Linked DNA regions of Caenorhabditis elegans. The protein of the gene in region 1 interacts with the protein of each later gene in a pairwise test. Each region holds a gene or a part of one and is shown on either strand. Other genes may lie near its edges.

The links.
Region 2: the proteins of kin-4 (region 1) and F09E5.7 interact in a two-hybrid assay, tested with the Caenorhabditis elegans proteins (one large-scale study listed by BioGRID).
Region 3: the proteins of kin-4 (region 1) and C34F6.1 interact in a two-hybrid assay, tested with the Caenorhabditis elegans proteins (one large-scale study listed by BioGRID).
Region 4: the proteins of kin-4 (region 1) and acly-1 interact in a two-hybrid assay, tested with the Caenorhabditis elegans proteins (one large-scale study listed by BioGRID).

The regions. Positions count from the first base shown.
Region 1 is NC_003282.8:11,423,727-11,428,745, reverse strand, and holds the start of kin-4 (non-specific serine/threonine protein kinase), read right to left. Parts: upstream 3,005-5,019; coding exon 2,946-3,004; intron 2,613-2,945; exon of another isoform or gene 2,592-2,612; intron 1-2,591. Other genes in the region: F22B3.8 (Tyrosine-protein kinase), read left to right, coding at 3,861-3,866, 4,049-4,194, 4,242-4,465, 4,613-4,806, 4,857-5,019.
Region 2 is NC_003280.10:5,350,552-5,354,305, reverse strand, and holds F09E5.7 (PI31_Prot_N domain-containing protein), read right to left. Parts: upstream 2,220-3,754; 5' UTR 2,198-2,219; coding exon 2,132-2,197; intron 2,085-2,131; coding exon 1,922-2,084; intron 1,877-1,921; coding exon 1,393-1,876; intron 1,312-1,392; coding exon 1,089-1,311; 3' UTR 547-1,088; downstream 1-546. Other genes in the region: F09E5.8 (Pyridoxal phosphate homeostasis protein), read right to left, coding at 2,372-2,502, 2,643-2,713, 2,897-3,081, 3,127-3,207, 3,261-3,341, 3,394-3,493, 3,545-3,630.
Region 3 is NC_003284.9:11,191,969-11,198,761, forward strand, and holds C34F6.1 (BPTI/Kunitz inhibitor domain-containing protein), read right to left. Parts: upstream 4,874-6,793; 5' UTR 4,867-4,873; coding exon 4,816-4,866; intron 4,771-4,815; coding exon 4,638-4,770; intron 4,595-4,637; coding exon 4,392-4,594; intron 4,341-4,391; coding exon 4,187-4,340; exon of another isoform or gene 4,047-4,186; intron 3,936-4,046; coding exon 3,603-3,935; intron 3,542-3,602; coding exon 3,374-3,541; intron 3,294-3,373; coding exon 3,126-3,293; intron 3,073-3,125; coding exon 2,290-3,072; intron 2,241-2,289; coding exon 1,929-2,240; intron 1,862-1,928; coding exon 1,541-1,861; intron 1,489-1,540; coding exon 1,184-1,488; intron 1,065-1,183; coding exon 864-1,064; 3' UTR 517-863; downstream 1-516.
Region 4 is NC_003284.9:1,477,957-1,484,593, reverse strand, and holds acly-1 (putative ATP-citrate synthase), read right to left. Parts: upstream 5,053-6,637; 5' UTR 5,023-5,052; coding exon 4,984-5,022; intron 4,861-4,983; coding exon 4,459-4,860; intron 4,332-4,458; coding exon 3,874-4,331; intron 3,828-3,873; coding exon 3,359-3,827; intron 2,995-3,358; coding exon 2,530-2,994; intron 2,471-2,529; coding exon 1,667-2,470; intron 1,621-1,666; coding exon 1,321-1,620; intron 891-1,320; coding exon 507-890; downstream 1-506. UniProt on the Caenorhabditis elegans protein: Catalyzes the cleavage of citrate into oxaloacetate and acetyl-CoA, the latter serving as common substrate in multiple biochemical reactions in protein, carbohydrate and lipid metabolism.

The DNA.
Region 1 (5,019 bases):
TAAAATTCAACGGAAGACGCCATTCCTCCTCATATTTGGGCGATGTCGCTTCTTTCAGCCTCTTCAACGATCTCCTCGCGCCGTGGTTCTCAGCCAAGTGTAAATATTCTCAATTTTTAGTTCATAAAAATCTAGAAAAATCAAAAAGCTAACTTGAATACTTAAATGGATGTTCTCTTTTCTCTTTCTAATCTACTTTCATCATTCAATTTGATATGACATTCCCTAATGCATAGTGATATTTGAATGAACGAGACAATTAGAAGAACACCCAATTGATTCAATTTTATACTTTAAGGGTTTGAATTTCTTTCAAGACAACAAAAGAAACAAAATTAAAAAGGAGAGAATGAGAAAGTAGGGCTTGCTGATGTAAACTTTTCTTAAAATTAAAATTGAGCATTGCACCTGCCAACTGATACGCAAGAAGAAACTTATTCGAGCTAAAAAAGGCATTCGAGCAGAAAATGCATTTTATTCATCTCTGAATATCATATTAAATTGTTAAATTGTTTGATAGCGGAAACGAATATGAATCGGAAATGAGATGATTCCATACTCTTCGAACAATTTATTCACGTTATTTTTAGAGGAGGAAGAGGAGGAAGCTTGATAGTTCAAAGGGTATTTCAAAGAGGCATTCTGTCTGGAAGCTTTGAATTTTCAAAATCAATGACTAATCGATATTTCAATTTTTTAACCTCCTTGATTTACAACAATCGTTCTATCGGTGAACCAAATTCAGTTAACACAAACCATTGATTTTAAAGTTTCAAAGATTTTTGTTTTCCTTTAGTAGAGAAAAAATCAAAGAATTCAAGTATGTTGCCATCAATTTTCAGTAAAAAAGTGGCAAACAAAATTTGAAGAGCTAGGTGCATTTCTACAACAATTTTTAAGTCCTAATTTTCAAAGTTTAAAGTCTTATTCTTTGATTTTTATTTTGAATTTCATTGATAATGTTCAAAGTATTTCCAGTGAGTCATTTTGGCAGAAAGAAGAACATTCTCCGAGCATGAAGCCATGTTGATCAGATAAATGACGCGAGTCAAGTGCAAAAGATTATTGTGTTATACTTTTTTATTTGATACTGAAAATTGTAACCTTTTCAACTGAGAGATTGGTTAAATGTACCTGTGTTTCAGAAATATTTTAAACCTATGCTCGGAGAATGCTTGACATTTTTTTCAAAATAAGTTCTGATAAAGAGCTTTCGATAAGAATTCAACAAGCATCTGCTGGCGGATGTACATAGGAGAGGGAGAAAAAAGAATACTCATAAAAATACATTTAGAATTGCACAAAAAAGTTGAGTTTGGAAAAATTTTAATTCGAAAAATACCCAAACCACAGAACAGGTACTACTTTTGTAGCGAAACTATATGACTTCCATGGCAGTAAGTCCAATATTTTTAAAGAATAAATAATTGGCATAACTTTTAGAAAACAAGAGGCATTTAGACTGCGAAAGTGTATTGCACTTCAAAATTTGAAGCAATTTATTATCTTAATTTTTCTGAAATCGGACAAGAAAAGAAGAAGTGAAAGGAGGCAAAAAAGACGAAGCTGAGCCAATCGATGGCCAAATTTTTTAGAACGACAACGACTGAAGACGACTTAAAAATATGAGCATACGGATAAACAGGGAGATTAACTGGCATCCGCCAACAGATTCACCATGCAAAGGATTAACTGTCAACTATAACATTTCTTTTATTTTCTCCTTTTTATAGAAAATATATTTATTCACTATTTCATCCAGGTTCGTCCGTTGACGTACTACAGCTATGCAACCAGATTTATTCGAATAAAAAGAATATCGTGATCTTCACAATGAAGCTCGTATTTCTATTTCAAAAACTTGACTCATTTTTAAGTAGTGATGAGATGCAATAACATTAAAATTTAGGTGCTTACGTAATAACCGGGCCAATCGGAAACAAGACGAAATCTAAAACGAACGCATTTGCAAAGTCGAGCTACTGGCTACTAGTGAAGATTTTTAATTTACATCGAGTTGAAAAATAAAGATAAAATAATAAAAATAAAGATGTTTATGATCCATGTTCTTGATTAGGATACATATTATAATACTTCGGAAATGACATACATACATAGGTATGCATACAAGAAGCAATATCGCTTCATTAACAAACTATCCTAGATCATAATTTAAAGAAAAATGTTACACTTTCAGTAATTGGACTTTGTCTCAATTTTTCTCTATTTAATGTATCCTGGCATACAAAGCGTATTATAGAAAAACCGTTTCCGAAAAATTTTAGTTTTTCAGATATTTCGAAAACAATTCGATTTTTGCAAAAATATATTAACATTTTGACCATTTTCCTTTTTTTTCAGAGAAAACATTTCATGTTTTTTCTCATCAAAATGAACAACTTTTGGTAATTTTTTAGTTTTTTTGTTAATTTTCTAAAAAAATTTTTCTTTAACTATAGAAAAAAAATAAAGAATATTGAAATAATTTTAGCGGTTTTGGAAAAAAAAAACATTATCTGCATCGAAATTCGACATAAAAAATATTTGCAAATAAAATTTTCAACTTATTCTTGATAACTTAAAAGCTTAATTACATGGACAATAATATGCAATTGATTTATAATTAAATTGAAAGTTAAAAATAAAAGAATAAAACAGTTAGAACAAATTCTACCATCATGACTTTTACAGAAACTTTGACACGAAAAAACAAAAAACCACAATAAAACGCTGTTCTCTATTATTTCCGCTTTCATCGAACGAAGAAGAAAATCATCCGACAATCGGCAATTCTATGCACGCAAAACATAAAAAGAACTGACAGAGACATGTGCAAAGAGATTTTTTTTAGGGGGAGATTTCTATTGCAATGAGAGAGATAATATCTTGTTTTATAGGTTGCATTTTTACTTTTTTCGGTTTGGTAAGATACACTCAGAACTCACTTTTCTGTTGCATTACTTGGGCTCTTCTTTTGATACATAACGACTCCAAAATTGAGCATTTGATTCTGAAACTATAGAAAAAAAAAAAGATTGGCTAGAAACAAAAATAAAAAGTTAGATTGGAGTTTTTGGAGGGAAACGTTGAGTAGGCGAAACGCCGGAGCTTATCAATCACTATGGGCAGTTGAGTGGAGAGAGATTTGTGATGTGAATAAAATTATAAATAAATTGAAAGTATTTCTGATCCTCTCACTCTCTCTTTCTTTCCTGTTCTCAACATTCACCTCTACTAATCCCCTTTTTCCAGCTCATCACAAGGTTGCTCTTCGTTTTCTGATTTTGTGTGCTCATGGATTACTGTAACATTTCTAGATTTAGATAATGGTAAAGTGTATGGTGAATGGTGACATATCCGAAAACATGAAACTTGAAAATATTAATCTAGTTAAATACTTCTGCCGTTGACATTTGAGACCAGCTATTATAATAATCTCCTTTTTTCCACTCTATAAGCAACAATTTTCAATATTTTGACATCCTGTGAATTGCAAAAAATGAATATATTTTCTAAGGGGTTCGATAGTAGACATGAATTTTTCAGACGTGCTCGCCTGCCTGCTTGCCGCTGATGAAAGGTTTGATAGGAAGATGCTAAATTATGGCAGGAGTAGGAAGTTGTTCCTAACTGTCGAGCAGTGACTTTGCACTTTGTTGTCAGGAAAATTTGGTTTAACCGTTAATCCTTCAGATGAAGTTTGATTCCTGGAAGTTTTCTGAATTTGAGTTGTATCACTGTCTGTATGTTTAAATACATAAACTCCCGTGAAAAAAATTGAAAAAAAAAACAAATACGACGAGGCAAACTTATTTATTTCCCAATATAATTTTACTCAAAATCGTCGTAAAATTTTTGCAATGAAGGTGAGTTGGAGTGCGGGAGTTCGAGCCTGCCTGTACCTGGCTACGCGTCTACCTGAAAATAAAATAAGACATCAGAAATTCTAGAATAAGTTTCCTGCAATGGGTCGCCTGTAGTATGATTATTTAAAAAAAAGACAAATTCGGTATTCCTGGTATAGTAAAATGTAATTTTCAATTTTCAGAAATCTGAGAAAAAAGAATGTAAGAGTGAAACGACCGAAAAGACTGAAAGGACAACAGATGGCAGCAGTATTTCAAACTCAGTTATGATCAATTTTCCGGACGACTCAATGTATCAAAATGTAGAAAAAACTAAAAGCGTTGGAAGGTGAGCAACTTTATCCCAAATATCCCAAAACACTTTTTAATTTCCAGAGTAACTAATGAAATGATTGACAATTATTTATTGAGATACCAATTTTTCCATGGTTTTGTGCTCCAAGAGCTACAACTGATCTTGTTGAAGACGAACGGAGACTTTCTCCTGAGATTGTCGCATCAACCAGAGAAGAATGCGAAGAAGCCGACGACTCCGGACAAAAGTGCCACTGATCCGATTCCACTGACTCGTGTCATTCTTGTTCTGTCCGTCAATATCAGTTTGTTTTATTTTTTGTTTTTTTAACTTCCTAGCAGCTTGGAAACTTATTCAATGAACTTCTCATAAGTTGTCAAGCTGTTGCGGGGAACTTGCCCTCACTGTTCGTTGAAAAACTCTAGATTTTACAATTATGTTCCCTATTCAGCACAAAAAACCGGCACCACACGAAGTTTCTATGGGGATCTGGAGGATGTGAAGAAAGAGAACATGGATATGCATTTGTTTATTGAAGAAACCGCCGGCAAATGGACCTCGTTTTATATTGAGCGGCGATTCAAGTTTCCGACTATTGATGAGCTTATCAACTACTATAAGGTCAACCCGATTTGCTATCACAATGTATGTTTGAGTGCTTTTCTAGCCATTTCCAGACGGTCTTTAATTTTCAGACACGTGTATTCTTGAAACGCCCTATCGTGCTACAAGACTGGGAGCTCCGGGCAGAAGGAATTGATATGACTCCAAAGAAGTTGGGAGAAGGTGCCTTTGGAATAGTCTACTTGGGACGATGGGCACAACCGTTTAGTGTGGATCAGAAGGAGTTTCATAAGT
Region 2 (3,754 bases), on another chromosome or scaffold:
TCTTTGGTTTGTTGTAGTATGCTTACTACATATAAAATATAAATCAAGACTCTAAATACCCTATTACTCATTTTGATGATTCGACTATTGACATTATTTATTACTAATTAACTCAGCAGCACCCGTTCCCCTCGAAAAATAAATTGGGTTTTGGGATACTGTAGTCTTAGTTTTGGAGCTACAGTAACCCACGATTGGCACGTTGAAACTCGCAAACATCCGTTTTTCTGCAGGAGTTCCATCCAAATTCCGAACTAAACATCCCAATTTACTTTGAGAAACCAATTTTCGGCTGAAACTGACCAATATTTTAAAATCGAGTGTTTTGGGGTACTGTAGTGAGTGCGCATTTTCAGCTTTGGACGTCTAAATTTGGAGTCATTAAAATATCATCGTCCTTACTACCAATAAATTAAAAAAGCCTCCGTGGTCAAGTGGCTCAAAATTTTGGCGTTCACGCAGACGTCCACTAGTTCAATCCCAGCGGTGGCAACTTTTTTTGCTTGAAGTTTTGTGTCATCCTAGAAAAGGAATTAGTTGAAAAAATTATGGTTGACATTTTATTGGGTACTATCAAACATTCAGGACTCACTTTTTTTCATTTATTTATATTTATTCATCAGGCAACAATCATAATGATACAATTACAACAAAGCAGTGAAGTGAAGGAAAAAAGAATGAATAAATAGATATAAAATAATCATTTGGACCCGCAAGAGTCCGGTGACTAAGTATGAGGGGGGGAAGAGGGTAAAACATTGTCAACAAAAAGTTGACCGGGACGTTTTCCGAACAAAATTTCTGAGACAGGCTTTTCTGAGACAGGCTTTTATAGTCATGTAGACGTGAGAGTTTCTGGAATTTATAAGGCTTTTGTGTGTTTGGTTTCTTGTAGCATGCTCAATACATATTAAATATAAACCCCCTCTAACCTATTTTCCGATTTTGATAGATATCTTGGTTTCGTAGTTTGCATTTTTAATATTGCAAGCTATACAAGACTTTTCTAATTTTAACACGCTCATGGAGCTGACGGAGTAGCATTCAAATAAATATAAAATACACATTTAATACAACAATTATGGTTTTCAGATGTATCCGTCGAAGCCACCACCACCTCCGTTTCCACCGAATCTTCCATTGGGATCTCTCATGAATGGTCTTCCGTGACTTCCTCCTCCACGTGGCTGTCCTAATGGGCCCAGTGGATTGAGATCCGGATGATCAGGTCCACGGAACAGGTCTGGAATGTTTGGATTTCCGGCGCGTGGTACACCTGGTGGCAAGAAACCTCCGAGGGGATTGTAGTATCTGAAATTTCGGAGATGAATGCATCAACCTTTAGGAAAAAAAATTGAAATTAAATTTGACAATGAGAAATCGGAAACTCACTCAGTATCCGGATCAGGAAAACGATTCCCGTAAGGGTCATGAACAGGATGTCTAGGAGGATGACGTGGTCCACCGATCATAAGCGGATTTTCATTACGAACTGGTTCATTTCTTCTCGCTGTAGTTCTCGACTCATTTGCTTTCTGGCAATACATTCCATAGAATTTTCGGCCGGTGGTGATCGTATTTTGTACAGTTTCATTTCCAAAATCATTGTTTAAACGTTTCTTCCAGAATGTGTTATCGACCGCATCAGATGTAAGAATTTGCTGAGATTTCTTGTTCGATAAAATGAGTTTTGCAACACTCTTGGGTGTCAAGTTTTTCAGAATTTTGTCACGCAGAGAGCCGAGCATCAAAATATGATTGAGAGTAAGAGCTGATCCAATAGCAAGCACGAGTGGATGAAGACCTTCCGACAAATCAGATTTCAGAGAAGACGAAGGAGTTACTGTGAAAGAAGCTGCGATGGAACGGAGACTGTCTGAAAAATCGAATTATAACTGACAATTTTATTTTCAAAACTTACTTTTTATGACATATCCAGTTATGATTGCTTCAAATCCTCCATCCTCACTGATGAAAACCTGACCAACTACTCCAGAGTTCTGTGGAACTCCTCGCTTGGTGCCTCCGAATTTTAATTCAAATCCTTTCGTTTCAGGTCCGTTCCAAGATTTCATGCTTTCCTCCTGAATGAATCACGCTTAATTTGCTTAAAAGTAAAGAATTAACCTACATGTTGCTGCTCATTGAGCATTAATTCTCGAGTTTCCTTGAGAATTTCCGATCGGAAATTATCCATTATTCTGTGACTGAAAAAAATGCTGAAGGAACTGAAAAGTTCAATTCAAAAGAAAGGTATTTAAACAGTAACAGCAACTGAATTGGAATCTGGTAATTAAAAAAAAAGTGAATTTGAATAGTGAATTTTCTTTAAATACTAAAAAAATAACAAACTAAAAAATGGAATGTAAATCTATTTATTTTTGTATTCTCTGGCTCCGAACAGCTTGCTTCCCACTCGAACACTTGTTGCACCTTGATGAATTGCTTGAAGGAAATCATCGGACATTCCCATTGAGAGTTCTACTGAATCCGCAGATTCACCTGAAATCAATACTTTTCAAGTTTTTGTTTAGAAACTTTGTGGATCCAACATTTCAAAACATTTCTTGAAGCATAAGTTTTATTTTTTGACGTCAACCACTGACGGTTCTCGCTTTGATTTTTCTAGAAAATCTGTTCACCTGTTTGTTCTGCCCATGTTTGTCGGACTTTGAAGAGCTTCTCGAAATCCGGATTTTCTCCGCTTGCGTGGCTGTAAAATTGAACTTTTATTTTATGGTAAATATTTAATTTATCGCTTGTTAGCTTGATCATTATTTACAAGTAATAATTAATATAAAACGTTCATTTTCATCATTTCTTACACCTATTTCCATTTCACCTGCCACTGAACAACTTTTTAGTAGGATAGTCGTAACAATAAATAAATATATACCTGTTGTCAAACGATCCGATAGTCATGAATCCATCAAATTTCAAGTTTTGGCATTCTTTTCGAATGAATTCCGCAAGTTTCGGTGCTTCTCCAATCTCGATTCCTCCTTTATTATCTTCTCCGGATGTATTTACTTGCACGAGAACTCGTAGTGGTGACAAATTGGCTCCGTGTTTTGACCATTCCTTCAAGATATTTAATTAAAATAGATTAATAGTCACTAAACACACCTTGTCGAAAATCCGAGCATGTTTCTCAGTCTCCACTGTTTCAACACACCAAAGTCCAGGAGAATTGCAAATTTTTCCAATCTAAAAATTTTTAAATGATTAATAAATAAGGTAAATTTTCCATCAGAACTAACTTTATTTGATTGCACTTGTCCGATAAAATGCCAACGAATATCTAAACATTTTGACGCCAAAACATCAGATTTTTCTTCAAGCTGAACAATAAGGAATCATTTTCAAAAGTTTTGTTGATGATTTTTCTCTCACTTCTTGGACGTAATTCTCTCCAAAATGACGCTGATTTTGAGAATAACATGCCTCTATTAAATCAGCAGACTTTGTTTTACTGACAGCAACAAGTCGACATCTGAAAAATTCATTATTAATTTAGTTTCGCAATAATTTCCGGTTTACCAACCTTTTTGTGGCTTGCGAAGCAGTAACGGCGTCGGCAACGGCTTCAATAATGTTGAATAGACTTTTTTGTACAATTTCTATAGACATTTTCTACCTGAAAACTATATTATTTAGTTCTAAACACGGAAAAGGAAGGAAACAACAAAATAAGAAATTTCTAGAGGGGGTACGTTTTCGTAAGGGGATTTTTTCGTAAGGAACGCTTTCAGTA
Region 3 (6,793 bases), on another chromosome or scaffold:
AAAATCAGAAAGTGAACGATAAATGTTTTGCTTCTTGGTATTTAGTGGAGAGTAAAAAGAAATAAGTGTGTGTGTGAGGAGTATGACTCATCGATTGGCCAAACTTCACGGCAATTATCGAGAAAGTTTTGTGTGTGGCGATGGTGGTGGCAATGAGACAGGAGAATGAAATGAGATTCCTTGGATTCTGTCTACCAGGTCAATTACCTTTGATTATTTGAAAGAAAGAAGAAAGTGTCAGAGGAAACTAGATCAAAAATCACGGCAAAAGCGTGTCTGAATGGAAAGGGCATCTCTGTAATTTGAGAAGACAGGCTTGAGAAAATGGAGAAGCCTGAACAACGAAATTGAAAACTGGGAAGAAAATTGATATGATTTTTTTTCCGAATATCGGGAATCTGAAATTTGAAGATCAAAAAGTGGGATTATTGATCCCTTCGTGATTTTTTCAGAACTAAACAGCTGACTTGATTAATCAGGTTCAGTTGGTGAACAGAGGTCGAATGAAAGATGGCTAAGGTGAAATGTTTATTCAATTACACTGAATAAATATTACAATGAATGTATAAAAATCTTTGTTATAAAAATGGATGGTAGTGGTCAATTTTGATGGCGCTGAGCAAACAGAGCTTGGTACGACTCAGAGAAGGTAAGAATGGAACAAAACAAAAAAATGAAAGCATATTTAATAATGAGAGAGACAATTACAAAAAAAAACAAGGAGATCCAATCAAAGAACTCTTTTTGGTGATTTTCAAGGGAGTTAATTTAGTTGTTTGTTAAAATGAAATAGCGACAATTACCGGTAAAAAGAGTGAAAAACAATTGAAGATTGAGAAAAGTTATTTGAAAACAAATTACATTTACAATCTATGTCTTCTCTTGTATTCTTTACAGCAGATTTCAGTACATCTTTGCAGAGAATGGAAGTTGTTCAATGTTCCTTCACACCCTCCATATTGATATTCAACACAAGTATCTGTGTTCGCATCATAACCATATCGCTTCTCAAAGTTATTGCATGGTCCCGAGTCGCGAGCTGAGAGGCAGAAATCCATTGGGTCCTGAAAATAAAAAAATAAATGATAACTTTCTCCATGATAAGCGTGTAGTGCCGTTTGATCCGTATTTGTTCTCAACCTGTTTCACTCTTTTTCAAACTTTTCACTCTGGAAAAGCTTACCTGGCAACAAATGGAAACATTGAACTCAGAAGACATGTGGCAAATAAATCCTTCCGGACATCCCTTGTCAATACCGCACGAGGTTACTGTTGATCCCTCAATCAATGGAATTCCATGCGGACAATAATTTCTGTATTCTGGACATGCTTCCATACAAGTATTTTGACTAATGAAGTTGTTTTCGTTTCCAGCAACTCCTCCGTATGTAAATGGAGCACATCTGTTTTGTTTGCGATCGAAGAACCATCTTGGCAAGTCTTCTGATCCTGTTCCTTCCTCTACGGCTTGATCACACGGGTCGATTTCTGAATTCAATAATAAAATAAGTGTCTAATAATAAATGGAATTCACGCATACTTCTCTTAGGGCAGCACAGCGTAGTGAGAGCACTAGATCCAACGTGACAGTACGAATTTTGTGGGCAGCTGTTAACTCTCTGTCCACCAGTACACAACATTCTTTCTCCGGTGGTGTCAACCAACGGATCACCATAACCGCACGGATTCATTTCCTTGCAAGACTGTCGGCACGACTGTTTGGTCAGGAAGTTGTTTGAGTTTCCTTTCATTCCCTTGTAAACAAATGGACGACACATTTGAATTCCTCCATCAAAGAACCAACGCTCGAGTTTCTCAACTCCTTGACCAACCTCTAATGGGAGATCACATGGACGACGGGCTGGAAATAGAATGCAAAATTGAACAGTTGCGTGAACTAAATGATATCTCTCTAGTAGTCTACTCACTTCCAGGGCAACAGTTGGTTGTCTCGGGGGCACCTCCAACATGACAATAATATCCGTTTGGACATGTGTCTTCTCCGCCGCAAATGACTGGTTCTTTTTGCAAACTAAGCAGTGGTTCTCCCAAGCTGCAAGGGTTTGGAAGTACTGGACAAACAAGACCGCAATCTTCAAGAGTCAAAAAGTTGTTGGCATTTCCCTTCTGTCCTTCGTAGCTGAAATCGCGGCATCGGCGAGTTTCTTTGTCATAGTAGTATCTTGTAATTGAAAATCCTCCTGTTCCAGTAGCCAATGCTTGTTGGCACGGGTCACCATCTATGAATATATATTTTAGATAGAGTTAAAATTTTTAGAACAAACATACGTTTTGGACAACAATAATTCTCCGATCCTTCAACTCCAATGTGACAGAAATGGGTGGATGGACATCTCTCATCAGGAGAGCACAACTTTGGTTTAGTGCCAATCAAGAGCGGTTTTCCATTGCCGCATGGATTCTCAAATACTGGACAAACTGACAAGCAGTCTTCCTGTGTTAGGAACATATTCTGATTTCCTCCTTCTCCGCTGTAAATGAACTTGACACATTTGTTGAGGTTTTTGTCAAAGTGCCATCTTGTCAGATGAGAGTTTCCGTAACCCTTCGTCATTGTGAGTTCACACGTATTCTGAACAGCAGAGCAGCACACAGTTGTGTCTGGAGTTATTCCGACGTGGCACCAGTGCGAGCTTGGGCATGGCGAACTTGGGCTGCATGTGCGTGGCTCGTTGGTAGGTGTCATAAGCATTGTTCCTGATCCACATGGATTTTTGCATTCTCTTTTACACTTAGATTCACATTGTTGTTTTGTGAGGAAGTTGTTCTGGTTTCCTTTAGCTCCATTGTAAGCAAAAGACTTGCACTGTCTATTGCATGACTTATCTGCTGGGTCAGCGTACCATCTTGTGAGATTCGCGGTTCCTTCTCCGGAAAACATTGGAAGAGAGCATGGATCTGGGGAAGCTCCTGGACAGCATACTGAAGATTCTTTGGAAGCTCCAATATGGCACCAATGTCCGGCACTGCATTCAGTTCCATTTGAGTTTTCCATTCCACATTCCTTCTTTTGAGCATAATTAACTGGGACAGGGCATGGGTTATCCCACTCTAAAATACAATGTAAAATCTTAAATAACGAAGTATTTGTTGAAAGTTCCTACTTTGACATTTTTCTTGGCATTGTGTATATGACAAGAAGTTGTTCTCATTGCCCTTGGTACCCTTGTACATGAACTCTGTGCATCGCTTTGAGAAAGTGTTATAGTAGAATCTCTTGAGGAGGGCTTTACCCTGTCCGACGTTTATCGAGAGTAAGCACGGATCGGTTACTGTAAAATTAAAATAAATAGAGCCTTGGCGAGAGGTAGAGAACAAATAGAGTAAACGTTTGACAAAAAAAAATGCTCACGTCCACTGTTCTCACAGCAAGCAGTAAGTTCCGGGTTCTCGCCAATATGACAGTAATAGCCGTTCGGGCACATTGAATCATCGTTCGGTCCGCAAATAATACGAGATCCATTCTTATATTTAGCAGCGTTACTGAATTTGCATGGGTTTGCCTCATCAGTCACAGTTTCTAAAAAATCAAGAGTGATAATATTATGTGATATTGTTAAGTACTGAAGTAAAATCTAAACCTGTTTCACATGCATCCACACATTGAGCTTTGGTGACAAAATTATTAGCGTTTCCACGGATCCCCTTGTATAAGAAACGTCTACATTCTTTGGCCTGATTATCAAAATACCATCTAGCTACAAGTTCATCTCCCTCTCCAGTGTCCCTTCTCTGAGCACATCTGTCTTCCGAAGAAACTAATGGGCAACAAGCGGTAGTGGAGAAAGATGCTCCTGTGTGACAATAGTGATCTTCTGGGCATCCTCCGTTTGGTTGGTTCAAGTAGTTGCATGAGATTGGAGTGGAGAATTCGTTGAGAAGTGGCTGGCCGACGGCGCATGGGTTGAAGTATTCTGCAAACGGTGGAGGGAAAGGTGTGAAGATGCATTTTGATATAACGGGAGTCGCAACTACTACTATATATCTATTTGTTTGTTTATTATTGACACATAATTATCTTTTAAGTGGTTGCTTTGAAACGCAATGAAACGCGTTCAAATTGTCGGCGGCTTGGTCAGTTTGGTTGAACTGTTCGATCACGCAGACAAACATTACAAAAAATGCTGGGTTGGGTGGGTGGTTTGGTTGCAGGCAAAAAACTTACTGGCTTTTGATGTTTGTTTGCGCTCCGGACGCAAGTACTTTGTTGTTGGTGCAACAGTAGTCTCCGGTGCTGGAGTGGGGTCTGTATGTGATGGAGCCATAGACGGCGTGGATTCTGGAGCTGGAGTTTCAAGAGTGGTAGTTGTAGTTGGTGGCTAAAAAATAGAGAATGGAGATAAAGAATTACTAACTATTGTTCTGCTTACCTGAGTAGTAGTTTCAGTGATTAGAACTTGTTGTGTTGTGATAGGAGCTCCAACAGTTGGTCTAGGGTAAGTGATTGGGGGAAGAGTGCTTGGTGGCGGAGTTGGCAGTGTTGGAAGTGGTGGAGCTGGATTAACCACTGGCCTAATGGGACCTGGTGCAGACGGAATAGTTCTAATTTGTACTTGAACATTTGGCCGGATATCTGTTATATGAATATGACAAAAAACGAAACTATGTCGACTTACTTGTTGGTCTGACATTCCACCTGTATCTAGTCTGTTGATTACATCTGTTTTGACAATTAGTTCTTACTGGATAATACATTGTTCTCTGTTGTTGTGGTTGCATAACAGGTCGCATCTGTTGTTGCATATAATACTAGAAAAATGTGGTTGTTGTAATTCATCTTTCTTATTATTTTACCTGTGATAAAACCAACGGCACCAAGGCCACTATGAAGAGCAGCAGTCTCATGGCTTCGCTGTAAAATGAGTAAATTTAAAATGAATCTAGTGGATATGAGAAGCAAATCGGAAGCCAAAAGTGCTTGGTGATCCGAGTGTAGGTCAACTTCGTGAAATGAGTGACCGCTGGCCGGAAATGTAAACAGGGTGGTCGAACTCCTTGTGGGGAGGAGCTGACGGCGCGCGGGGCGGGAGCTTGATCTAAAAAATGGCTCGCAGGTACAAGGTACCGTGTTTTGTGAAAGGGAAAATGAAAATAGAAAGAGGAAAATGGAGTTCTTAACACTTAAAGGTCAGGTAAAAAGCTCAAACAAACAAAAGTAGGGATTTCGAAACACTGCTGGTAAAAACCTAGAACAAAAATGATATAATCATGTTTTTGAAATTGGGGGTTCAATTTTAATAGCTCAAACTGCTCTTATTATTTGGATTATAGTCTATGTGTCCTCCAACAAAAAACATCGCATAATTTTATTATTTCAAAAAACGTTGTAGTGCCACTTTGCAAAATAAGTTCATGCAATCAAATTTGTTTTTAACCTGAAAATTGAATTTGTTTTTATTCAATACCAATTTTTAATTTATTAAGTGTATCAATTGTTGCGTCCCTATTTTAAAGCAGGAGTCATTTTGACACCATAATCACTAATTTAGATGCAATTATACATACATCTTTAGTATTTCTGATTGCAAACTATTATACATAATAACAAAACCGTTCGAAAATTAGTGTTCCATTTTTTGTTTGAATTGCAAAAACTTTCGAAATTTAGTATACAGCTACATTAATAGAAAAAAAAACAATTTTTATCATTACCACCCGCGCAATAAACTTAAATTCATTGCACAATCTCTATGTACTTCCCGTCTGTCCAGTTCAAAGTTTGATAATTCTCGTAAAGTCGCCCGCTCCCAAAAGCTTCTCCCTGTCCACGTCCGTTTTTGACATGTAGTGGACATTGTCGCGCCCCGGTGCTTACCTATTTCTCTTTACATTCCGCTGTTTCTCGTCGTCATACAGACAGCTAACTCAAGACGTACGCCGAAAAAAGAGTTGTGCTCTCCCCCTCTGGATAAACATTGACCTAAATGACAACTATTTTGCTCTGCGTGACACTTATACTAACTGCTTTGTTTGGACTTCGTCATCACTTAAGTTTTAAAAAATTGATAAGAAGTTATCGTGATCAAGTGTGGTACACGTTGGAAAATATGTATTCAGAATAGTGTTTGAATGTCAACGTTGTTAATAACCAGTCTGGAATTAATGTTGAATGTTGAAATTGTATTGTAACTCTGGAGTGTGTAGTAAAGTATTAGCCGTACACATATTTGGAACTGAAAGGCTTCTCGAACCGTTCTTCTTCAAAATATACTTTAAAACAAGTATTTTGGAGTATAAGGTCTACAATTTGTGGATCGCTGTTTTCAAATATTCCAAGTGAAATCTAAAAAGCAATTCAAAATTTTCTTTAAAAACCACCCGTAATAAATATTTTTTAAGACTAAGCCAATATATGAAAAAAGAAATAATGTAATTAAATACTTATTTTTTATAATCTTTACTGATTTTTGTCTGTGTTTTATACGTGTAACACAAAAAGTGAACACTGAAACAGTAATTTCTCAAACATCGAAACATCACTCTCGAAGAACTAAGTTCTTGTCCCACTTCCTTTTTGGCATTTCCAAGTAATCGAAAGTAGCCGTAGTGGCAGGAACTATCCACAGCTATTATCACCGATCATCATCAAAAAGGGGGTTCTCTGGCGTTTTTTGTGTCCTCAAGTCAATTTCATTTTTCTGCACGCTTCTCTGTTCACACTGCGAACCTAAAGTTCGCATACTCTTTCGTTTGGTTTTTTTACTTCGCGCCCGCGCCAGTTTACACTTTTACTTGCTGGTTTCATATATCGTTCAGGATTACCGAAAACGAA
Region 4 (6,637 bases), on another chromosome or scaffold:
TATTTCGGCCGAAATTTTTGGGTAAAAACCTGTATTTTAAACCTTTTTTTAGTTATATAAGTTTTTGAACACAAAAGAAAGCTAAAAAAAAAGGCCCGTGCTAAATTTTTTTGGCTTAGCATTTCTTAAGTTCCAGAAAATTCCATACTATACCATGCTTTATTGTCTAAGCTGAATAAATATCATCAAATTCAAGAAAAATACATTTTTGTAAGCTAAAAAGTAAAGCTCATGGGGTGCAATATTAAAGTTGAGAGTAGAGTACGGGAAATAAATTAATGAACAAGTTGAGAAAAAAAACCTTGTGAAATTATTGCTTGGTTGGGGGGAGATAGGGGACTTTTAGGGTACAGTGATTAGAAAAAATTGGAATGCTTCAGTTGCTTGGTCCAGGAGAATGTTGAAGGGTTGCGGAATTTACTGAAAATTGTTCATAATTATCATTGAAATTAGATATGAATTTTTTTGAAACTTGGTCAGTGCGTAAAACCTTAAGCAATTTATATTCAAAACTTTACCAAGTTGCTCTCCGGCATAATGTAGGAAATATCATCCCATGGATGACGGTACAATCCCTGCTTCAGACGCGACTGATCCAAGTAGTGACCGATAAATCCAATAGATCTACCCAAAACGAAAAGCCCATTGAGCGATCCAATCTCGATTGTCTCCTCGGCCTCCTGCTTGGTGAACATGCCACTGTGGCGAAGGATATCGACGAATAAGATCGCAATCGCTCCGTCCACGTTGAGAATGAGGTTCGGTTTTTTGGCGGTCGTGATCTTCTCGACCTCAAGAGCATACTCGAACAACGGCGTCTCCTGGGCAAACTCCTTCTTGTCCATGGCAAATCTTTTCAGAATCTCCACACGTTTGTCAGGGTTGTTGATCTGGAAATTGACAATATTTGAGCTCTTCGGTATTAGACGTTCTATTTAGAGTACCGACTTGGATTACGCTAATTCTGACAATACTGACACTTGGTGGGTGTCAGAGTATCACGTCTCGGTTTGATGGTACACGTCAGAGTGTCCCATTTTAGTTTGATCTACGTAGATCTACAAAAAATGCGGGAGTTGAGAAAAACGTGCTGACGTCACATTTTTTTTGGACCCAAATTTTCCGCATGTTTTGTAGATCAAGACAACTTGACACCACGTAATGGTAAAATTTCCTGGGCACGTTGTTCCCGCAATTCTCAGAGATCAAACCGAGATGGGACACTATGTTTCTAAAATGAATCACTGTAGTACACTACTACAGTAACTACAGTGAGACATTTGTAAGGGTACTCAAAACCATTTTAGTCTCTACACTTACACTCTTCACACGATGTCCAATTCCCATAATATGCTTTCCCTTCTTTCTCATCTCGCTGACAAACTGATTCGCCGACCATCCTTGATCAAAAGCCTCAGAGAACTGACGAGCGGCTCCATCGAGGGCACCTCCGAAGCGATCACCAATGGTGAGTAGACCAGACGTGAGCGAAGAGATCAGATCTTTTCCAGCACGAGCACACACAATAGTGTTATGGGCTCCCGACACAGCTGGTCCGTGATCGGCGGTGAGCATCAAGCAGATCTCGATAAATTTGTTGGCATGTGGTGGGAGACGCTTCTGAAATGTATTATTAGTGGTGCTGAAAACAGGTCTCAATTCCCACCTGGAACCACAACAATCCCAACACTCCACCGATTCCCATATCCGACTCCAAAACCTTTGTAATCGGTACTCCCGCATAGTTCAACTCTTCTCCTCTCTCATCACAAATTGAGGTCATGAAGGAAGCTGGTTTTCTAATGAGTCCCAGTTCACGAGCCCACGCGTAATCCATCGGCACCGCTGGAGGTGGAACTTCTGGCTGTGGAACGATGATTTGTTGGCTGACAAGTTCGTCGTACGTCTGACGGATTTTGTTGCCAAGATCGTCAAATGACTCGGGGACAAGGGCACCTGAAGCACGGAGAGCAGCATTTTTGCAGGCAGCGGTTTCTCCGAGAGCATTTGCAGATGCTCCAGCGTGACCGAATTGAACCTCCGATGTGATGTGATCTGCACAGGTTCCGATGCACCATGCGACCAATGGCTTTGTCACCTTCTTCTGCTTGAGGAGATCCACAATTTTGTACTCTTCAACTCCACCGACCTCACCGAGAAGAACAATCATCTTCACACGATCATCATTTTGATAGCGAATCACGTGATCAGTGTACGTGCTTCCCGGATAGCGGTCACCTCCAATTGCAATACCTTCATAGACTCCGTTAGTGTTTTGTGAAATGATATTGTTAAGCTCATTGGACATTCCTCCGGAGCGAGATACATAGGCGACACTTCCAGGGCGGTAGAGCTTTGAGGCAAGGATGTTGTCCATCATTCCACCGGTGTTTCCAATCTTAAAGCATCCCGGCTTGATACCTCCGACGGTGGCTGGCCCAACAAGGGTGACTCCACGGTCATGAGCAATCTGAAAACAAGCATAATTAGAATCAGAATACTTCTATTTCCGGTGGGGGAAAACTTTACCTTCAACAGCTTTCTAGTCTGATTCTCAGGGACACCTTCAGCAATGATCGCAATAACCTTGATTTGTGGGAACTCGAGCGCCTCGAGAACAGTCTCAAATACAGATCTCATCGAGGCAAAAGTGACCATGATAGAAGCATCCGGATGAGTTGCAAAAGCCTTCGCCATCGACTTATAGGCTGGAATGAGAATTTCCTTTTGCCCAAAGTAGTACTTCTGCTTGTTGTCCCCAGTGAACGGGTAGGTGGACGCGACAACCGACGGGGAGCTTCTTCTGCAGACATAGTCAAAGTCCAGCATTCCTTGAATAGCCTTAGCCTGTTGTCCCCAGATGATGGCCTTGGTGTCGTCCTCGAAGAGTCCACGGAAGCTTTTCAGTTTGTTCTGTTGGGCAGTGGTGAGTGGGTGCTCAGTTGGAGTGGCGTTGGCTGCTGGCGAAGGTGGAGCTCTCTCAGTGCCTCCGGTCTGAAAAATGATAGATTTGAATTGTAGAAAAATGGATTCTTCAAGTTCACTAGATCTGAATGCACAGGGCATTTTCGATTTTTCACTAGGCCCTAAGTGAGCCCGCTTGTGGCTGGCCTATGTTTCCCGCTTCGCACCAACAAACGTGGTGTCAAAGTGTCCCATTTCAATTTGATCTACGTAGATCTACGAAAATGGCGGGAATTTAGACGCATACTTCTCAACTGGATTCGCATGACTCAAAGCTTGCTGACGTCCCATTTTTTCGGGAAAAAAATTCCCGCACTTTTTTGCAGATCAAACCGTAATGAAACAGCATGACACCTCGCACCAACGTAGCTAGTTTTTGGTCCTAAAAACCTACATTTCTCTCAGGGCTCAACAAAAACTGTCCGGTAGTCTGTGGAGCTGTCGGAACTGTTGGCATTGGCTTCACTCCGAGCGCTGCTCCAACAATCGCCGTCATATGAGTCTCAGGTCCGAATACATGAATTGGCAGCTCCAACTTTGTCGCAGCATCCTTGATTCTTCTGAGTCCCTCCTGGTAGTTTGGGCCTCCGCGACGCACGAAAATTGTCACCTTGTGCTCTTTGAGCTTTGAGACAAACGTTTCAAAGGCTCTGACGATTCCACCAAAAGTTTTAGCAACATTTGTGAAGTTGGCGATGGATCCTCCGATGATGAGGACTTTTCCATCAGGTCTCGGAGTACCTTCGGTCATCACGGAGAGGAGTGTCTTTGCGTATTCATAGGTTTGCGATTCAGACGGGTCTCCAGAGTATTCTCCGTAGTTGGCGAGTTCTGATGCTCCACCGAGGTCACAGACAGTGTCGCTGAAACAAATATGGCTAGACTTTAAATTCTATATTTTAGACTCACGTAAACACAACTGAAGCTCCACCACCAGCCACCATCGTCCAAACTCTTCCCTTTCTGTTCAAAATCGTCAGCTTCAAGGAAGCTCCCGTCTTCGCATCCATCTCCGAAATGTACTGCTCCTCTGACGTCAAATCACGTCCAAACGGAGCTGGGAACTCCACGTGGTTCGGTCCTCCATATGGTGTCAGACGGCTCTTCCACTTGTCTGCGCACAAGAAATTGGCGGTTTCATCAAGCCTAGCTGCCAAATCCAAAACATGAATCTGGTTGTTCAAAAGGACAAATGGATTAATCTCGAGATACGTGAAATGTAGGTCCTTGTAGGCTTTGTAGAGCTCTACCACAAATCTTCTGACAATGTCACTGTCCTTGAGTGGGCCCAGGAGGGTGGTGAGCTCTTCATCCGAGGGGGTCATGGCATTCTCGTTGAGCTGGACGGGGACGGATACAGTGCGAGCCTGGAAATACTCTCAGTAATTGGGAAATTGCAAAGGTTGAGTTTTTTTAAATGAAAATGATCCTATTTTACAAAAATGATAACTGCGGAGCAATTTGAATCCAAAAAAAAATTTCCGGGAAACTAACCTTTTCCTCAACATCTCCAATATCTACACCTCCTTGCTCATAGAACATGATGACGTCACGAAATCTCTCACTGTAGATCGCAATGTACATCTCATCCTTTTCAGTGTGTGCACAAAATGGCTCGACAATAAAAGTGTGAAGCCGTCCCTCGGTTTGACCAACTCTCACATAACTGTCACCAGTTTTCTCGAACCATGCCTTCAACTCTTGTGGTGTTCCAATCTTGACCAAACCCAGCTTTCCACGTCTTTTGATCAACTGGTCGGGCTTGATGACTCCCTTGTTATCACGTGCGAGCCACTCGTACTTGTTTGCAATTTCGTCAAAATTTTCGCCAGCCTTCACGTGAAACGCATGTGGAGCTGAGAGGAGTCCGCTTGGCTCGAAGTATTTGTAGAGAACCTGGAATAAAATTTAGATTGTTTTGTTGAGAATTTGTTAAAAATGTCAAATTGCAAGAAGTTTGGTGGGATCATTCTATTTTTAAATTAAAATTTTTTTTTCCAGTTGGAAATTTGCACTCACTTCTTTTCCAGATAACTCGCTCACAGCCTTCGCCGACATTGTTCACTTGTTCCAAAGAGAACGAGTTACCTGAAAGAAATTCAGAATTAGGAGGGAATACTAAAAAGCGTATGCCACGTAGCATAAAAAATTAAAAAAAATTCCACAAGAAGGAAAAAAGGAACTCAGAAAAAAACAAGAGAGGAATAAGTGTTTTGAGGCGAACGCAGGCGGTCAAAGGAAATTTGAGTAAACAACACGTTTTTCTGCTCCGCGAAGTCTGCGTCTCTAGCTTCTCCGGATTTCGCAATGTTAAGTTATTAATATTTTTGCATCAGATTTTTGAAACAATTACACAAAGTGTTCGAAAACGAATGTCTCTTTTATACCAATTTTTGAGCAAAAGTGCATTCACAAAAGGGCACTAACCAAAAAATTCAAAAAAATAGAAGAAAATTAGCTCGGGAAAGTGCAAAACACTGGAAGAGTTTTGTGTTTGGATTTTTAAAATGGGTCTGTCTTAGGTGTTAAGCTTAGGCATAGATTTAGGCTTAGGATTAGGCTCAGGCTGAGGCTAAGGCTTTGGCATAGGTTTAGGCTTAGGATTAGGCTCATGCTTAGATCTAGGAGCTCCAACAAAAAACTTAGAAAACGTGATTTTCCATTTTATTTTTGTTTTCTCAGTCTAAGAAAACAAGACCAAACGGAGAAATGCGAGAAAAGCGGCATGGAAATCAGAAACCTTTTGGGATTCAACTTTAGCTTCTCGCTCTCCGTTTTCTCCATCCCATCTATCCCCGTTTTTTCCAAAAAGAAAAGAGTTGCGGGGGCTTCTTTTTTTAAAAAAGGAAGAAAAAAAACGACTAAAAAGAAGAAAAACGTGACGTTCTGTGTTGGAGAAAAGGAAGAGAAGCAATTGAATATTCAGAATGGAGAATATTTTTCGGGGCTTGGCGGGTAGGGAAAAAAGTTTTCTTAAGTTTCTGAAGAAAGTGGACGGGTTAAAGCATTGGCTTAGGAAAGGATCACTTATAAAAGTTATAAACAAAGGAAATTATTGTGGTCAGTGCAAAAAAAAATGGTCAGTGCAAAAATTATAATGGTCAGTGCAAACATTTTTTGTCAGTGCAAACATTTTTCATCTGTGCAAAAAATTCTATTAAGTAATATCGAAAATAAATATTTCTGAACGATTTTGGATTTTGGATTTTTTTAGTAAATTTCTAACTGAACTAATCTATTTTCAATGCAAAAGTCTAGTTTAAAATTGCATCAGCTTTTCCTGTTTTACAAAAAAAACTACATATTATCAGTTACTTTCTAGGCTCCTGACCTTTCCACCACTCATTTATAGGAGTGGTCAGTCTTAAGATGGTGTGATGGTCTGTTAGCTACACGTGTATCACCTATCTCCTTATCACCGTATTTTAGAAAATGCCGCTAAAAACTTGTGCAAAAACGAAAACATGTGCGTTTCTCGTGGTGTTCCCACTTTTTTTCTCGCTGAGGTTCACCCGAAAATATGGTGCGATTCGAATTCTTATCACAACATGCTGAAGATAAATTGATAACGACTGATAAGGAAAATAAATTTGGAGAGATACGGATGTACCCGAACGACAGTGATCAATGGAGAAGGCGGCTACAAAATCCTACTTGAGAATTGGAAAAAAAT